4 linked regions of the Macaca fascicularis genome follow. The protein of the gene in region 1 interacts with the protein of each later gene in a biochemical or structural test. Links are inferred from orthologs where the notes say so. Each region holds a gene or a part of one and is shown on either strand. Other genes may lie near its edges. The genes, in order: SYK, ERBB3, FLT3 and ERBB4.

The links.
Region 2: the proteins of SYK (region 1) and ERBB3 form a complex in vitro, tested with the Homo sapiens proteins (2 studies listed by BioGRID and IntAct, with this or other methods). The link is inferred for Macaca fascicularis from reciprocal best matches to the Homo sapiens genes SYK and ERBB3.
Region 3: of the proteins of SYK (region 1) and FLT3, one has a biochemical effect on the other in vitro, tested with the Homo sapiens proteins (2 studies listed by IntAct, with this or other methods). The link is inferred for Macaca fascicularis from reciprocal best matches to the Homo sapiens genes SYK and FLT3.
Region 4: the proteins of SYK (region 1) and ERBB4 form a complex in vitro, tested with the Homo sapiens proteins (2 studies listed by BioGRID and IntAct, with this or other methods). The link is inferred for Macaca fascicularis from reciprocal best matches to the Homo sapiens genes SYK and ERBB4.

The regions. Positions count from the first base shown.
Region 1 is NC_088389.1:121,173,292-121,176,855, reverse strand, and holds part of SYK (tyrosine-protein kinase SYK), read right to left. Parts: intron 1,499-3,564; coding exon 1,289-1,498; intron 316-1,288; coding exon 126-315; intron 1-125. UniProt on the Homo sapiens protein: Non-receptor tyrosine kinase which mediates signal transduction downstream of a variety of transmembrane receptors including classical immunoreceptors like the B-cell receptor (BCR).
Region 2 is NC_088385.1:62,883,433-62,886,530, reverse strand, and holds part of ERBB3 (receptor tyrosine-protein kinase erbB-3), read right to left. Parts: intron 2,914-3,098; coding exon 2,758-2,913; intron 2,517-2,757; coding exon 2,441-2,516; intron 2,258-2,440; coding exon 2,111-2,257; intron 1,365-2,110; coding exon 1,267-1,364; intron 1,175-1,266; coding exon 983-1,174; intron 839-982; coding exon 767-838; intron 1-766. UniProt on the Homo sapiens protein: Tyrosine-protein kinase that plays an essential role as cell surface receptor for neuregulins.
Region 3 is NC_088391.1:8,024,606-8,028,743, forward strand, and holds the start of FLT3 (receptor-type tyrosine-protein kinase FLT3), read right to left. Parts: upstream 2,840-4,138; 5' UTR 2,758-2,839; coding exon 2,715-2,757; intron 1-2,714. UniProt on the Homo sapiens protein: Tyrosine-protein kinase that acts as a cell-surface receptor for the cytokine FLT3LG and regulates differentiation, proliferation and survival of hematopoietic progenitor cells and of dendritic cells.
Region 4 is NC_088386.1:108,380,031-108,384,278, reverse strand, and holds the start of ERBB4 (receptor tyrosine-protein kinase erbB-4), read left to right. Parts: upstream 1-1,412; 5' UTR 1,413-2,032; coding exon 2,033-2,114; intron 2,115-4,248. UniProt on the Homo sapiens protein: Tyrosine-protein kinase that plays an essential role as cell surface receptor for neuregulins and EGF family members and regulates development of the heart, the central nervous system and the mammary gland, gene transcription, cell proliferation, differentiation, migration and apoptosis.

The sequences.
Region 1 (3,564 bases):
ATAGTTATTTTTTAAGTAGCAAAATTGCTTTTTAAAACCATACCAATAGTAAAATAAAGAAAACATACATTTATCTTGCATTTTTTACCACCAGCTGCTCTGAATATTAGCTAAGTTGTACTTACCTTGTAGTAGTTTTCATCAGCACGCAGTGCTTTGGAAAGTCCGAAATCACTGATCTTGGCATAATGTTGAGTAACTAGCAACACATTTCTTGCGGCCAGATCTCTGTGCACAAAATTGCACTCCTCCAGATACTTCATGCCCATGGAAACCTGATGAACCAGTTCTATGATGTTCTTATCCTTGACATGTCTGAAAGTCACAACGATCTCATCAGCTATAACCGACAGTGACCCATTTCACAACAAACAACCATGCTCCTCATGCAGGCAGTAGGTGAATCTACTCCTTCCCTCTTCTTAAACAACAAAACTCACAAGTGGTGACAAATAACTTTGTTAGCATATAACTCTTCAGGACTGAATGCCATATTCTCCTGGTGTTCAATGGGATTGAGTTTCCTGGCATGCTTGGAATTGCAAGACAAGCAGTATAACAGAGTGGTGAGGCCTGGTTCACAGACAGCCAGGCACCACCTTAAATCCTTGTTCCAGTATTGCACAGGTCACAGAACTAACCCTGAGTCTCAGTTTCTCACCTATAAAGGGTAAGAACACCTCCCTTCCATGGAGACTAAAGAGACAACCTAAGTACAAACATAGCACAGCAAACAAAGCAAGCTCCTCAGTAGCCATCATTCTGTCTTACGCCAAGTGAGTTTCCTCATCTCAACAACAGCTTTAGATGAGAACACGATTACTCCCTTGATGGATGTAATCAATTAGCAGCGACTGATATTTTCAGAAGTCATTATTCATGAGGACATAAGGTCAGCCAGATAAAACATAACTGTCACCTCTTAGAAAAGCACTTATTTTAAATGTTTCTTTAAAAAGAATGTGTTCTTCCCAGTGAGAAAGGAGATTCCCTGTCAAGATATTCTGAGGCTGAGTCTATCACTAGGCCAAGACTGAATGAGTACAGAAAGAAAAGAAAGACAAAACTGTCGAATGAGTTCTTCTCTGAACAACTAGAGCTAACAGAGCTGAATCCAAAGACTGAGTCTCCCTTTTTCCCTCTGTCAAGGTCCCTGAGTATGGACCAATAAGGGAAGGCACAGGAGGGTGGGAAGGCTTCCACGGAAATCAGGCTGCTCAGCCCATCCAGTGGTGGGCCCTGTCCCTTAGGGGAGAGCTTCCAGACCTGTGGGGGCACCTGACAATACCTGTTCTGCTGCAAATACTTATTGAGGGGACCAAGTTCTGCCATCTCCATAACCAGCATCCAGGACTCGGCCTCGCATATCCCGATCATGCGCACGATGTACGGGTTGTCCAGCTGCTGCATGACATTTGCTTCTGCTAATAACTCGTCTTTAAGAGCGGGGTCATTGGCCTCGTTTTTCAGAATTTTCACAGCCACTGTTTTCACAACTCTGCAAGAGAAATCATAACACACAAGAAACTTTCTGAAACGCCTGGCTTCTAGATAATCTTCTCCTGTGAAGCATAATCCCCGCGTGGAACCAGTCCCATGGAAATACCTGCCACAGAGTGACAATGTGTCTTCAGAAGCCTGTAATGGATGGCTGGCCTTCCAACCTATATTCCCTAATTTTACAGACAATGAGAGTAATGCCCCATTACTAAAAAAGAATGGTGGGGGCTGGGCATGGTGGCTTATGCTGATAATCCCAACACTTTGGGAGGTTGAAGGGGGAGGATTGCTTGAGGCCAGAAGTTCAAGATCAGCCTGGGCAACATAGTGAAACCCCATCTCTAAAAAAAATCAGCTAGACGTGACAGTGCAAGCCTGTAGTCCCAGCTGCTTAGGAGGCTGAGGTGGGAGAATCACTTGGACTCAGGAGTTCAAGGCTGCAGTGAGTTTCTTGCCACTTCACTCTAGACTGGATGACAGAGGGAAACCCTGTTTCTAAAAAATAAAATAAAATAAAAAGAATGGTGAAGAACAGTACTGAAGAACGTCCCAACCAAGCAAAAACCCTAAACTGTAAAATATTTAAATAACTTGTAAATAAACCTCACCAACGATGACATGCACAAATTCCTGTAACATCTTGGGATTCACCATCTCAGATTACGTGTAATGAATGTGAATATAAAATGCCTTTCATAAACGCTGAAAGTGAATTTCTAGGTGCAGAATTTAAAAGGATACATTTAAATGTAATGCTTTGAAGAGGTAAACAACTCTCCTGAGAGAGGCTGAAGAAGACCTAGTAAATGCGGGGATGGGCTGTGTTTATAGATTGAAAGACTCAGTATTGTAAAGACATACTTTTGCAAAATTGACCGAGAGAGCCTCTCCTCTCCCCAAACTCTCTAGTTGAAATTATGTCCACCGTCATGTCTATGTTAATTCACAAATTTAAGCAGAGAATAAAGATCACAACCTTTCACAAACTGAAAAAGCTTATGATTAACACAGAAACATTTTTGTTCATTGTACAAAATGACGGTGATATACAAATATATTTTAAAATAAGTATCACAACCAATTTTGATTGTGTGTATACATGTGCTTATGTATATACTTGTGAATGTATACATGGGTGTGTATGTTTGTGTGTGTATACGTATATACATGTATGTGTATCTGTGTGTGTATATATGTATATATGTTTATACACAGAGATGCACATGCACAAAAACAAATGGAAGGGACAGATTGGAAAGCAAGCATTTCTCCTTCCTTCCTTCCTTCCTTCCTTCCTTCCTTCCTTCCTTCCTTCCTTCCTTCCTTCCCTCCTTCCCTCCTTCCCTCCCTTCCTCCCTCTTTTCTTTCTCTCTCCTTCCTTCCTTCCTTCCCTTCCTTCCCTTCATCTCTTCCTTCCTTCCTTCCTCCCTTTCGACAGAGTTTTACTCTTGTTGCCCAGGCTGGAGTACAACAGTGTGATCTTGCCTCACTGCAACCTCTTCCTCCAGGTTCCAGTGATTCTCCTGTCTCAGCCTCCTGAGTAGTTGGGACTACAGGTGTGCACCACCACACCCAGCTAATTTTTTGTATTTTTAGTAGAGACAAGGTTCTACCATGTTGGTCAGGCTGGTTTCGAACTCCAGACCTCAGGTGATCCACCTGCCTTGGACTCCTAACGTGCTGGGATTACAGGTGTGAGCCACGGCACCTGGCCGAAAAGCATGTATGTCTGTGTATACTTTTGTCTATATTTTTAACCTACTTGAATCATATAAATTACCTACTCATACATTTTTTTTTTACAAAAATTCCTTAAATTTGAAATACCATGAAGCTACTAAATCCAACCACATTCATATTAGTATCATACCAATTCAAAGAGAGGGTGTGTTTCAAAGGACTTTAGAAACCAGTATTTTTACTTGTACATTCCATGTTGGATACTTTCTAAAGACCAAAAAAAAAAAAAAACCAAAGATATTTTAGAAATTTAGCAATTTTAACTGTTGTATAATATGTATTGTTATTTGAAATCATAGGATAAAGCCAATAAATAATTATACT
Region 2 (3,098 bases), on another chromosome or scaffold:
GAAAGAAGAGACATTTGTTTAGAAGGAAATTGGGTTGTTCCCTGCCTTTTTTTTTTTTTTTTTTTTTTGAGGTGGAGTCTTATTCTTGTCGCCCAGGCTGGAGTGCAGTGGCATGATTTTGGCTCACTGCAGTCTCCGCTTCCCTGTTCAAGTGATTCTCCTGCCTCAGCCTCCTGAGTAGCTGGGATTGCAGGCACCTGCCACCGTGTGCAGCTAGTTTTTGTATTTTTAGTAGAGACAGGGTTTTGCCATGGTGGCCAGGCTGGTCTCGAACTCCTGACCTCATGATCTGCCCACCTCAGCCTCCCAAAGTGCTGGGATTACAGGCGTGAGCCACCGGACCTGGCCTTTTTTTTTTTTTTTTTTTAAGAGACAGGGTCTTGCTGTGTCACCCAGGCTGGAGTGCAGTGGTACCATCTCAGCTCACTGCAACCTCTGCCTCCCGGGTTCAAGCGATTCTCCTGTCTCAGCCTCCTGAGTAGTTGGGATTACAGTTGTGCACCACCACACCCAGCTAGTTTTTTGTATTTTGGGTAGAGATGGGGTTTCACCATGTTGGCCAGGCTGGTCTCAAACTCCTAACCTCAGGTGATCCACTCTCTCTGGCCTCCCAAAGTACTGGGATTACAGGCGTGAGCCACCTCGCCCGGCCCTCGCTGCCTTCTTTTTTGCAGGACACTGATTAAACCTCAAAGGTTTCTAATGTCTTCCACACTACTCCTATCAATCTGATCCTAAAACCCAGCCTCTCAGCATCAGAACTTACCTGGCAAGCCTCCCCAAGATTACCCTGGTTCATGGGCATGTATCCAGATGATGGACTTAAAAGGCTCTGGCTCTAGGAGGAAAAAATAAGGAAAAGGTTAAGATGAAGGGAGAAATCTATATTCACCATGGGGGCCTTTAAGTAGTTAATCTGGGTATCTGTAGGGTTTGTGAGGGCTTAGGGTGCAAAGTGTTGGGTAATTAGAAGGTGTCTTACCCCACGTGGCCGATTAAGTGTTCCAACTGGTAGGCTGAGGGCGGAGCCCAGTGTGGTGGTTGCCAGGTTGTCCTCCTCTGCTTCCAAGTCTAAGTCTAGGTCTAGTTCTGGCTCCAGCTCTACTTCCTCTAGCTTCTTGTTTGTCAGACCATGGGGCTCTGGCCCAGGGGCTATTCCAGGCCCACTCTCTCTCTATATCGATAAGTGATTGTTAGGGGGAATCCTGGTTCCAGCCAACTCCTCCTTTTTCTAAATTTCCTTAGTATCTCCTACTCCCTGCTCACCTTTATGACCAGATACCGTGGTGGGTCTCGGGCCATCCTGGTGAACTCATTGGCTAGTTCTTTAAAGGTTGGGCGAATGTTCTCATCAATCATCCAACCTAGAGATAAGATGTAGGAGGTAGAGACATAAAACGGAATATATCCATGGCCGGGCGTGGTGGCTCACACCTATAATCCCAGCACTTTGGGAGGCCGAGGCGGGTGAATCACCTGAGGTTGGGACTTTGAGACCAGCCTGGCCAACATAGTGAAACCCCGTCTCTACTAAAAAGACAAAAAAAATTAGCTGGGCATGGTGGTGCATGCCTAAAGTCCCAGCTATTTGGGAGGCTGAGACAGGAGAACTGCTTAAACCTGGAATGTGGAGGTCACAGTGAGCCAAGGTCACGCCACTGCACTCCAGTATGGGCGACAGAGTGAGACTCCATTAAAAAAAAAAAAAAAAAAAAAGGGAATAGAGCCACAAGAGGAGTACAGAGGGAAGTCAGAAAATGGCCGCGGTCAGGCCGGGCACGATGGCTCACACCTGTAATCCCAGCACTTTGGGAAGCTGAGGCGGGCAGATCACCTGAGGTCAGCAGTTTGAGACCAGCCTGGCCAACATGGTGAAACCCCTTCTCTACTAAATATAAAACAATTAGCCAGGTGTGGTGGTAGCCGCCTATAATCCCAGCTACTCCAGAGGCTGAAGCAGGAGAATCGCTTGAACCCGAGAGGCAGAGGTTGTAGTGAGCCGAGATTGCACCATTGCATTCCAGCCTGGGTGATAAGAGTGAGACTCCATCTCAAAAAAAAAAAAAAAGAAAAAAAGAAAGAAAATGGTTGGGCTCCGCTGGTAACTCACACTTGACCATCACCATGTAGACATCAATTGTGCAGATCTGGGGCTGTGCCAACCGCTCCCCCTTCTCTAGCAGGTCTGGTACTTCAGCCAGTCGCAGCCCTGCATAGGGCTCTGCCCCAAAGGTCATCAACTCCCAAACTGTCACACCTGGTGCAGGAAGAAATGGACTAGTCACTGGCAAAATAGTAGACATGGGCATGAAGTGAAGGGAAGGCAGAACCTGATCTGACATAAAAATCTGAAGTGCTTAGAGATTCTAAGAGGGGGTCTCAAAAGGCAAATTTGAAATTGGGGCCAGTGATGGTAGAGAGGGCATCCAGATGCACTGACCATAGCTCCAGACATCACTCTGGTGTGTGTATTTCCCAAAGTGGATACTCTCGAGGGCCATCCACTTAATTGGAGTCTGCAGATTAAAGAAAGAGGTATCACAAGTTTATTTCCACACATTTTCTTAGCATTTCCAAGTCCCAAGTTCTTGATCATTCTTTTCTTTGTTGTTCTCTGAACTAAAATATCTGGCATCTGCAGCCTCCTCTCCTTGAACTTACCATGAAGCATCTGCTTGCCTCCGGAAGAGACCACTGGCTGCTCCCTATCCCCACGCTTCACTCACCCCCACCTCCTTATCCTTTGTGTCACCTCACCTTGGCCTCACTGTATAGCAGCTGCTTATCATCAGGAGGCAGCAGGTCAGCCACACCAAAATCTGCCACCTGAACCTGACTGGGTGACTTGAGTAGCACATTTCGGGCAGCCAGGTTTCTATGCACCATACCATGTTCTTCAAGGTAGTACATACCCTGTAGGTAGAGGGGAAGAAAGTATTCTTAAGGTTAGGGGAATCAGTCACTGAGATCTGGAATTCTCCCAAACTTAAATCTACCTCTCAGCAGCAGTCCCCAACCTTTTTTGGCACCAGGGACCGGTTTTGTGGAAGACAGTTTTTCCCGGGGAAAGGGAGGGTTGGTTTTGGAATGAAACTGTT
Region 3 (4,138 bases), on another chromosome or scaffold:
AGAAGGCAAATAAAGGAAGATAAGCAACAAGGGAAAAGGATGGCAACTCAAATGTGCAGTTCAAGGCTTTGAATACGAATTTTTTTTAACACTAATGAAAAAGGTAGTACACAGCTCTTAAAATATTGAAATACTTCTCTCTGTCCAATATCAGCACATAATGCAGAAAAGCCCATTGGGAACATGTTCCTCTCCTTTAAATGCCACTTGGAAAGCTTCTTCATTATTCATAAATGATAAATAAAAGACCGGGCGTGGCCAGGCATGGTGGCTCACACCTGTAATCCCAGAACTTTGGGAGGCTGAGGCAGGTGGATTGCTTGAGGTCAGTTCGAGACGAGCCTGGCCAACATGGTGAAACCTCGTCTCTACTAAAAATATAAAAATTAGCTGGGTGTGGTGGCACGCACCTGTAATCCCAGCTACTCAGGAGGCTGAGGCAGGAGAATTGCTTGAACCTGGGAGGTGGAGGTTGCAGTGAGCTGAGATCACACCACCGCACTCCAGCCTGGGTGACAGAGCGACACTCAGTCTCAAAAAAAAAAAAAGTAGTGTTTACAATATAAGGGAAATTGGGATCTCATGTTCTAATTCAAGGAATTTAAGGCTATTAACCATTTTAAAGGTCTCATGTTTAAGCTTCTCACTTTATCTTTCTTTATTCAAGAAAATCCATAATAGCAAGTGTTGACAAAAATGTGAGGAACTGGAACTGCCATACACTCTAGTGGGAGTGGAAATTGGTATAACCACTGTGGAAAACTGTTTGACAGTATCTATCAAAACTGAACATATCCCTTCCCTATGATCCAGGAATTCTACGTGTGGGCATAATCCTTTATATATGGTGTTTATGTCCACCATACATAAAACAATGTTCACAGCAGTGCTATGCATAATTACACAAAATTGGAACAACTTCCATGTGCTTCAAGAACAGAATGGATAAAATAAATTATAACATCTATTCATACCATGAAATGGTACTGGCAATTAAAAAAAAAAAACAAAACACACTGCTACAGAGAACAAGGTTGAATCTTATTATTATAATGTTGAGTAAAAGAAACTGGACATAAAACAGCACTGGTGATGGTTTGCTTCACATGAAGTTCAAACACAGGCAAAAGTAACCTATGGCATCAGAAGTCAGAATAGAGGCTACCTGGGGAGGGAGCACTGACAGAGAGGTTGGAGCTAGAATTACTTTATATTTCAGTCTGATCGTGGTTATTTGGGCACACACATATATGAAAACTAATGAAATTGTACTCTTAATATTTGTGCATATTTACTGTGTGCCAATTATACTTCATTTAGAAATATCTGGAGAGAGATATAGAAATTTCTGAATTCTTTCCTAAATATAAAAGAATTCAATACAGCTTAAATATAGTTGCAAGTATTGACGCTTATACCTTTAGAAAGCCCATTATGCTTCTGAAAAATGCACTTACTACTTAATATCATACATAATAGAAAGCTAACATTTTGTATTAATGGAATCTGAAAAACACATTGTACTATACATTTGAAATTACAGATTTACTAACTAGTAAAGATAAATGTTTGAGAACTAAACTACAATGTTTAAGAACTAAAATTTTAAAATGTTTGTTTTTCCACTTTTTTCCCTTGATTTACATTTTTTACTTTTTATATTTCATAATTATTTGTAGCAAAAGCTATTGGATATAATTCCTGCACTTCTATATTGCAAGTATTTTCTCTATTTACCACAGACTTCAAGTCTTAGCATTTCAGAGCTGAAGGGGACACGCACGGACTCCCTCACTGCACAGATGAGGACGCGGAGGCCGGGGGAGGTGAGTGTCAGTCCCAAGGTTGCAGACCTAGGACAGGGACCAGAGCTCCCGGGCTCCCAGAACTCTGTCGCCTTCAACCCAAATTCGATTCAGTCCTCTCATCCTTCCAAATAGAAAGCTGACACGAACCGATCGGAAGCTTTTTTTTTTTTTTTTTCAATAACTATGCTACCCAGCAGATTCTCTGGGGAGAGTCCTCAGAGTCCTTGAAAACCCCACTGGGGTTTAATGCCAGGATAAGAAGAGCGTAGAAGAAAGAGACAGCTAGTATTTTAATATATAAATCTGTTTGCATAATATTTCCTAGGTAAACTATTCGCTGATCCAACCAAAATTCGGCGGGGCTGGGGTGTATCGTTATTGAGGACGACTCGCTCTAGGGGAGAACCCGGACGCATTTTTCCATCAGAGTTCCCTCTATAAATCAAAACCTCAAAAGAAGAGTTAACGACGACACCCAGGAGTCTACAGTATCCAGGGGTCGGTCCAGAAGAGGTCCCTGGCCACCTGGCGCAGAGCTCGCGGCCGCAGACTCCCATTGACGGCCCAGCACCGGAGCGCGCGGGCCGAGCTGCCCCAGACCCGGCGCAGCGCCTCGGGGAGGCCGTCTGCAAAGTCCGGGCCGCCACTCGGGACCGCGGACCGGGCCAGAGGAGAGACGTCGGAGAAGAGGGAAGAGGACGCGGGGTGGGAAAAGCCGGGGCCGCGGGCAAGTAGTGGGCGAGTCCGGAGGGCGCGAAAGAGGGGAGGGGCGCGGGAGGCAATGGAAGGAGCGAGCGCGGGGAGGAGCGAGGCGGCTGGGCCGGAGGAGGCGCGCGCCCGGGTCCACAGTGCGGGGTGGGGGCTGAGGGGCCGCGAGGGGCTGCGAGCGGGCTAGCGGGGCCTTACCGAGCAGCGGCAGCCGGCCGCCGCCGCGCGCCAACGCCGGCATGGCCTCCGGAGCCCGGGGTCCCCAGGCCGCGCCGGCCCAGCCCTGCGATGCCGCCTGGAGCGGCGCGCCCCGCGCTGCAGGTGGCTCTCTTAAGGATGCGCGTCACCGACCGCAAATTCCCTCGGACTGGTGCAAAGTGGAAGGGGGGAGGAACCCTCTCCCCAGAGGCAGGGGCCGAGCCGAGCAGCCGGTGCCTGGCGCAGCGCTGCAGCCGAGCCCACGTGCCCGCCGCGGTCCGCAGCCTGCGCTTGGCGGCCCCCGGGGCTCCCCGACTGCGGCGGGGAAGATTGGGCGCGGTCCCGCTGGAGAAGTTGCACGGGCTCCGCGGCTCTGCCTCCTTGCTGCCCCTGTGAGTCCCCGAACTCTGTCGTTTGGATCCGGGGCGTGGGGACTGCAGGGAGCCACAAACCACCCTTCTAGCGCTCTGGGATCTTTGAGGCCCTGAGAAGGGCGCTGAATCCGCGCGGCACGCTGGCGACTCCGGCCAGCGCACAGGCGAGCATGGGGTCTCATTCCATTCCCCCTGGATCTTAATTGTGGACTGATTTCCTTTGTCTCTCCCTCCATCTCCTAGGATGCCCAGGACCCAGTCAGCGGCGGGAGCAAGAAAAACAGGCGGGGTTTCAATGTCAACCAAGGCATAGGGAGGTTAACAAACACCCCTGAAAACAAAACACACAGAAAATACATCCCAGAGGATGTTGCGAATCATCCGCTCAATGGTTCTTCTTCTTCGCATAATTTTTCGAGTTGAAAATTATTATTATTTTCCTGCAATAAGTTGAAGATTGGAAAGCTCTGGATGCCAATTCTGGTTCTTCCCTTACTTAACTGGCCGTTTGACCTCCACAAACCTGTTTACTCATCGTAAAGGAAAGGGGTAGACCAAATGGTTTATAATGTCTCTCCCAATTCTAGGAATTCCATGCTCTTAATTATTTTAATCATTTTCTAATAAAGCATGAAAATTGTTTACTCTTGGCCATACAGTTATTTTCCTTAGATGTTGTTTACAGCACAATAATTCTTTCCCCCAGGACATGGCCGAAACTTTAGAAGTGTCTACTGTGGTGCAGCCACTATAGGAAACACTATAGAGGTTTCTCGAAAAATTAAAAAAAAAATATGGTCCAGCAATTCCATTTCTGGTCATGTAGCCAAAAGAATTGAAAGCAGGGTTTTGAAGAGATGTCTGTACACCCATGTTTAAAGCAGCATTATTCACAGTAGCCAAAAGGTAGAAGCAACCCATGTCCACAACAGATGAATGATGAACAAAAATGCAGTATATACATACGACTATTTTCCAGCTTCAAAAAGGAGGGAAATTCTGATACATGCTAAAATATGGATGAATCTTGACGACATTATGCTAAGTGAA
Region 4 (4,248 bases), on another chromosome or scaffold:
ATGCTCAGCTTGTTTGGCGTCTTCATGGAGCCTGTTATTTGCTGTGGGTCTAAGAAAGGGAAAGCTTCAGGCTTCAGGCATCTGTATTTCCTATCTGTTCTCAGCTCCATGGAAATTCTTAAGGGATGGAGCTATAGATAAGAGAGTGGGAAATGGAGATCCAGGTCTCAAATGAAAGGCAGGGTGGTTTGATTTTTAAGCTCCCCTGATACTTTTTATTTATATATTTGCTGCTTCTAGAAAAACCAAAAAAGGAAAGTGATTCATACATAGAATGCCTGTACAAATAGTAACTAATAACTTACTACCCCCAGGAGATTCTGGTCCTTGCCAGGGTGCGGTTTCAGAGCTGTAAAAGGCAAGGGATATGAACATTGATATGACCCAGTCCCAGAATATTTTAGATTCAGAAAAGGTCAGAGATTTTCATAACTAGCAATGACCTCCGGATTAGGGACCATGAATGTGCAGAGTGAGGACAAGGAAAGGGCCTAAAGCTGGGTCTACTGTAGAAGAAGCAGAATCATTTAAGGTTAATTATGTTCTGATGTGGCCTCCTTAAATACTTTCAGGTTGAGACAATTTCTAGCCCTTTAAGATTAAATCAGTGGCTTTGGACTAGAATCTGCTTAATAAGAATGAACTCCAAAGGTGAAAAAAACATAAAATCTAAAAATCAAAGGGTATGGCTTTATAAATGTGAAATTTTAGTTTGGCTCAATGTCGGTCAGTTTGGAAATGTGGGAATAACCGGAGAGATGGCATAACTGGGGGCGGGAGGCGGGGCGGTGATTATATCCCTACCACCACCTAATCCTCAGGGGCTACTAGTTACTTACTGTGCACACTTTTAAAGTACTTTCTAATTGTGGACCATGAGTGGCAGAGTGCTGCGGGCGGAGGCTTTTTGCTGAAAGCAACATTGACTTTTCTTTTATTTCTAGGGAAAGTCCTGTCTGTAGATAAGCACCGTGGGACAATGGAGAAAATGCTGACTTGTTTTTTAAAAAAATCTTTTCTGTAAGCGCCCCTCCGATGGTCTGTCCACTCTGCGGGCCAGCTGTCCCAGGCCTCTGCCAGGGAGGGAAGAGGAGTGCTTCAGTGCATGGCTTCGGTGAGCCCTTTAAATCCAGCTTCCCCTGCCCCCACCAAGCGGCTCCCTCTCCCTGACAGGTGTTTTCCCAACTCCGGAGGCCTAGGATTTTGGGGAGTGGCTGAGCCAATGAGATTTCCCTTTGGGGCGGGGGGCGGGGGAGAAGGGCGTGGCTAGTTGGGTCAGAGCATGGGCGGGGTTTGCGCGGCTGAGCAGAGCCTGCCTGGTTGCGTGGAGGGTTGTTTTATTCCCACCGCCCCCCCCACCTTTTTTTTTTTTTCTTTTTTTTTTTTTTTTCTGGAGTCTTATTAATTTCTCTGTGGGCTGCAGCTGGAGACCGCGGAGCGTTGGAAATGACGCTCGGAGCTTTAATTACCGCAGCCGCCGGACAAGTGTGAGGAAAGCTGACAGGAAAAAGAAGGACGGGATCCGGGGAGAAGCGAGAAGCTCCCCCCGCCCCGCTCCCCTCCCCATTTGGACTGGAGGTGCAAGGAAACTGAAGAAGGAGCAGAACACAGCCCGGCTGCGGGGAGAGGCCGGAAACCTACCGCCTCTTTGCAATCAACTTTTTTTGGAAACCTTTCGCCCCCCTTCCTTTTTTATTGTTGACCAACCAGTGAGAGAGAGAGAAAGTGAGGAGGCAGCGAGCAAGCGAAGGCTCACGCGGGGAAATAACTGCACAGTTCGGCCCGGACCGCCACGCGCACACACCGAGCACACTCCAACACACGCACACTCGCCCCCTCTTCGGGCCCCGGCCCTGGACCCGCGGGCGCGGACTCGGCCGCCCGCCCTGGGAGTCGCTACACCGCGCGCGCCGCGCCCGCCCCCCTCGCGCCCCCACGCGCGCCCGGCTGGGGGATCTCCTCCGCGTGCCCGAAAGGGGGATATGCCATTTGGACATGTAATTGTCAGCACGGGATCTGAGACTTCCAAAAAATGAAGCCGGCGACAGGACTTTGGGTCTGGGTGAGCCTTCTCGTGGCGGCGGGGACCGTCCAGCCCAGCGATTCTCAGTCAGGTGGGTTCCTTCTGGCGCTCCGGTCGCCGAACCTGCCGCCGCCGGCGGGGCTGCCTTGAGTGGCTCCCCCGCCCTCTTCACCCATCCCGGGAGGCGTGGAGGGACCGCTCGACCGGGACTTCTTCCCTGGGCTCTCGGTCGCCCCTCTTTCCATTTGAAACTTACCCTGTATGTGTGCCTGTGCTTTATCGTGAAGAAATCACTCTGAGCCCCTCTTTTTTCTCTCCTTAACCCCCTGTTTTTCTTTCCCGAGCGTTTTGTGTGGGAGCCTAAGCGGGATCCCTTCTGGTGGCGCCTGTTGTTCGGGACATGGGAGACCCAAATCCCCAGTCAGAGGAGACTCTCCTGTCCCTGTCTGGTCCCTCGAGGGAGGAACCCGCACCGCCGGGGCCGCGGAGGGCCGGGGTCCTGGGGAGGTGCTGGCTGGGCCTCTCCCGCGCCAAGCCTGAAGGGCGGTGGAGAGTGGCGCTCAGAGACCCGGGCTTTGCACCTGTGTGTGCTGCCGGCGGCCGCTGCGCCCCCAGTCGCCCAAGCCTTGTGGGGTCAGACGCGACTCGTACCCAGCCCGGGCAGCAAGAGTGCAGCGGGCGGGCGCGCCTCGGTCCGGGGTCTGGAGCTCTGGGCCTCTTCGGCCGGCTTCCCGGAGCCCTCGCCCCATTGACTTGAGGGGCGCTTGCTCGCCTGCATGACCTCTTAAAAAAAAAAAAAAATGGCTTGGCACACTCGAGCCAGAAGCCGGGCCTTCCCGTCGGTTGCCGTGTTTGGCTCCTGGAAGAGTTCTTCCTGTAGTTCAACTTGCTATTGGCCGGAGTCCTTCAAACTTGTCTGTTTACTGCCTGGCCGGGCTGCCGAGCCTGCGGGTCACTGGATCCACCCGAGGCGCAAGCGGCGGCGGCGGGTGCGCGGCCACTGCTTGCTGGAGAGCTCGAGCCCCAGGTACCTGGGCAGGCAAAGGGCTAACTGACCCCGAGAGGCAGCGCGGCGGGGTTGGAGCGCCAAGGCTTGCAGGACTAATGACAGCACCTGCAGTGCAAGGAAGCTCAAAGTTTCTGACACTTGAGTTTCCTGGGGATGAAAGTGGGACGGGAGAGGTCTGAGGAGGACCGGTGTCTGATGCGGCCAAGGGGTGCCTTTTGGAGAGCCAGGGAGATTTCTGAAACCATTCGGGGATGGTGACTGGAGCGTGGGAAGTAGCTTGAGGTGATAAAGCCCCCGGGAGTGGCGATAGGGAGCGCTTTAGGCCCCCGGAGGGTGTCCTTCTGACCTCACCAAGGAAACAGCAAGCTGTAGTTTTCCCGCTCCGCCCCCGCCGCCGCCGCCTCCTTTGCCTAGTAAACAACAAGTTACAATCATCGAGGCTTTCAAAATGACCTTCGAATGGCACATGTGCGGCGTTTTGTGCTGGCTGTTTGCACCCTCCCAATTACTCCGAAATTCTTCACGCATACCAGGTCCCGCGCTCCAGCCACCCCCGGAATCACACCAACACGGACTTGACATTCCAAGCGGCCTCTTAGATACATCTCTTTTTATCTCCCTCCCCACTTCGAGTCCCTTCATATTTTCCCTCAATGGGTTGATTATACACATTGACCCATTCAAAGGCAGTGGCGACCGACATGCAGGCTTAGCCGAGAGGAATTTCTACGAGGCGACCTACTGGGGGCTGGCTGGTTCAGCCTCTGCCGCTGAGGGACCCCGCTCCGAGTCCGCAGCAATTTGGTATTAACTGTGCGGCTCCGGGTTGAGCTATGCCGAAAAGCCCTTTTCAGAATTTCTGCAAGGAATGTAATCCAAATTAGTTCTGCAGCTGTCCTCTTCCTCGTCTCAGGCGACACCAGCTCGCGCCCTCGCTCATCTCTTCTCGTTTCGTTGGGCGAATTGTCAGACCCACAAGTGAGCCCATTTAGAGCGCGAGGATTAGCGTGCCATTGTTCCGTGTGTGACTCTGTACTTGAAATTCTGGGGGCACAAAGGCGAGTCTCACTTGTTCAAAACACAAAGTGATCCAGATGAAAGGGCCGTACAAAGAAAAACTCTCGGGTGCATCCCTGGTATAATTGCAACACGCATACTAAGGTGATCCAATGGAAACTGTAAATGCCCCGGGGACTTCTTTCTTCATTCTCCCCCA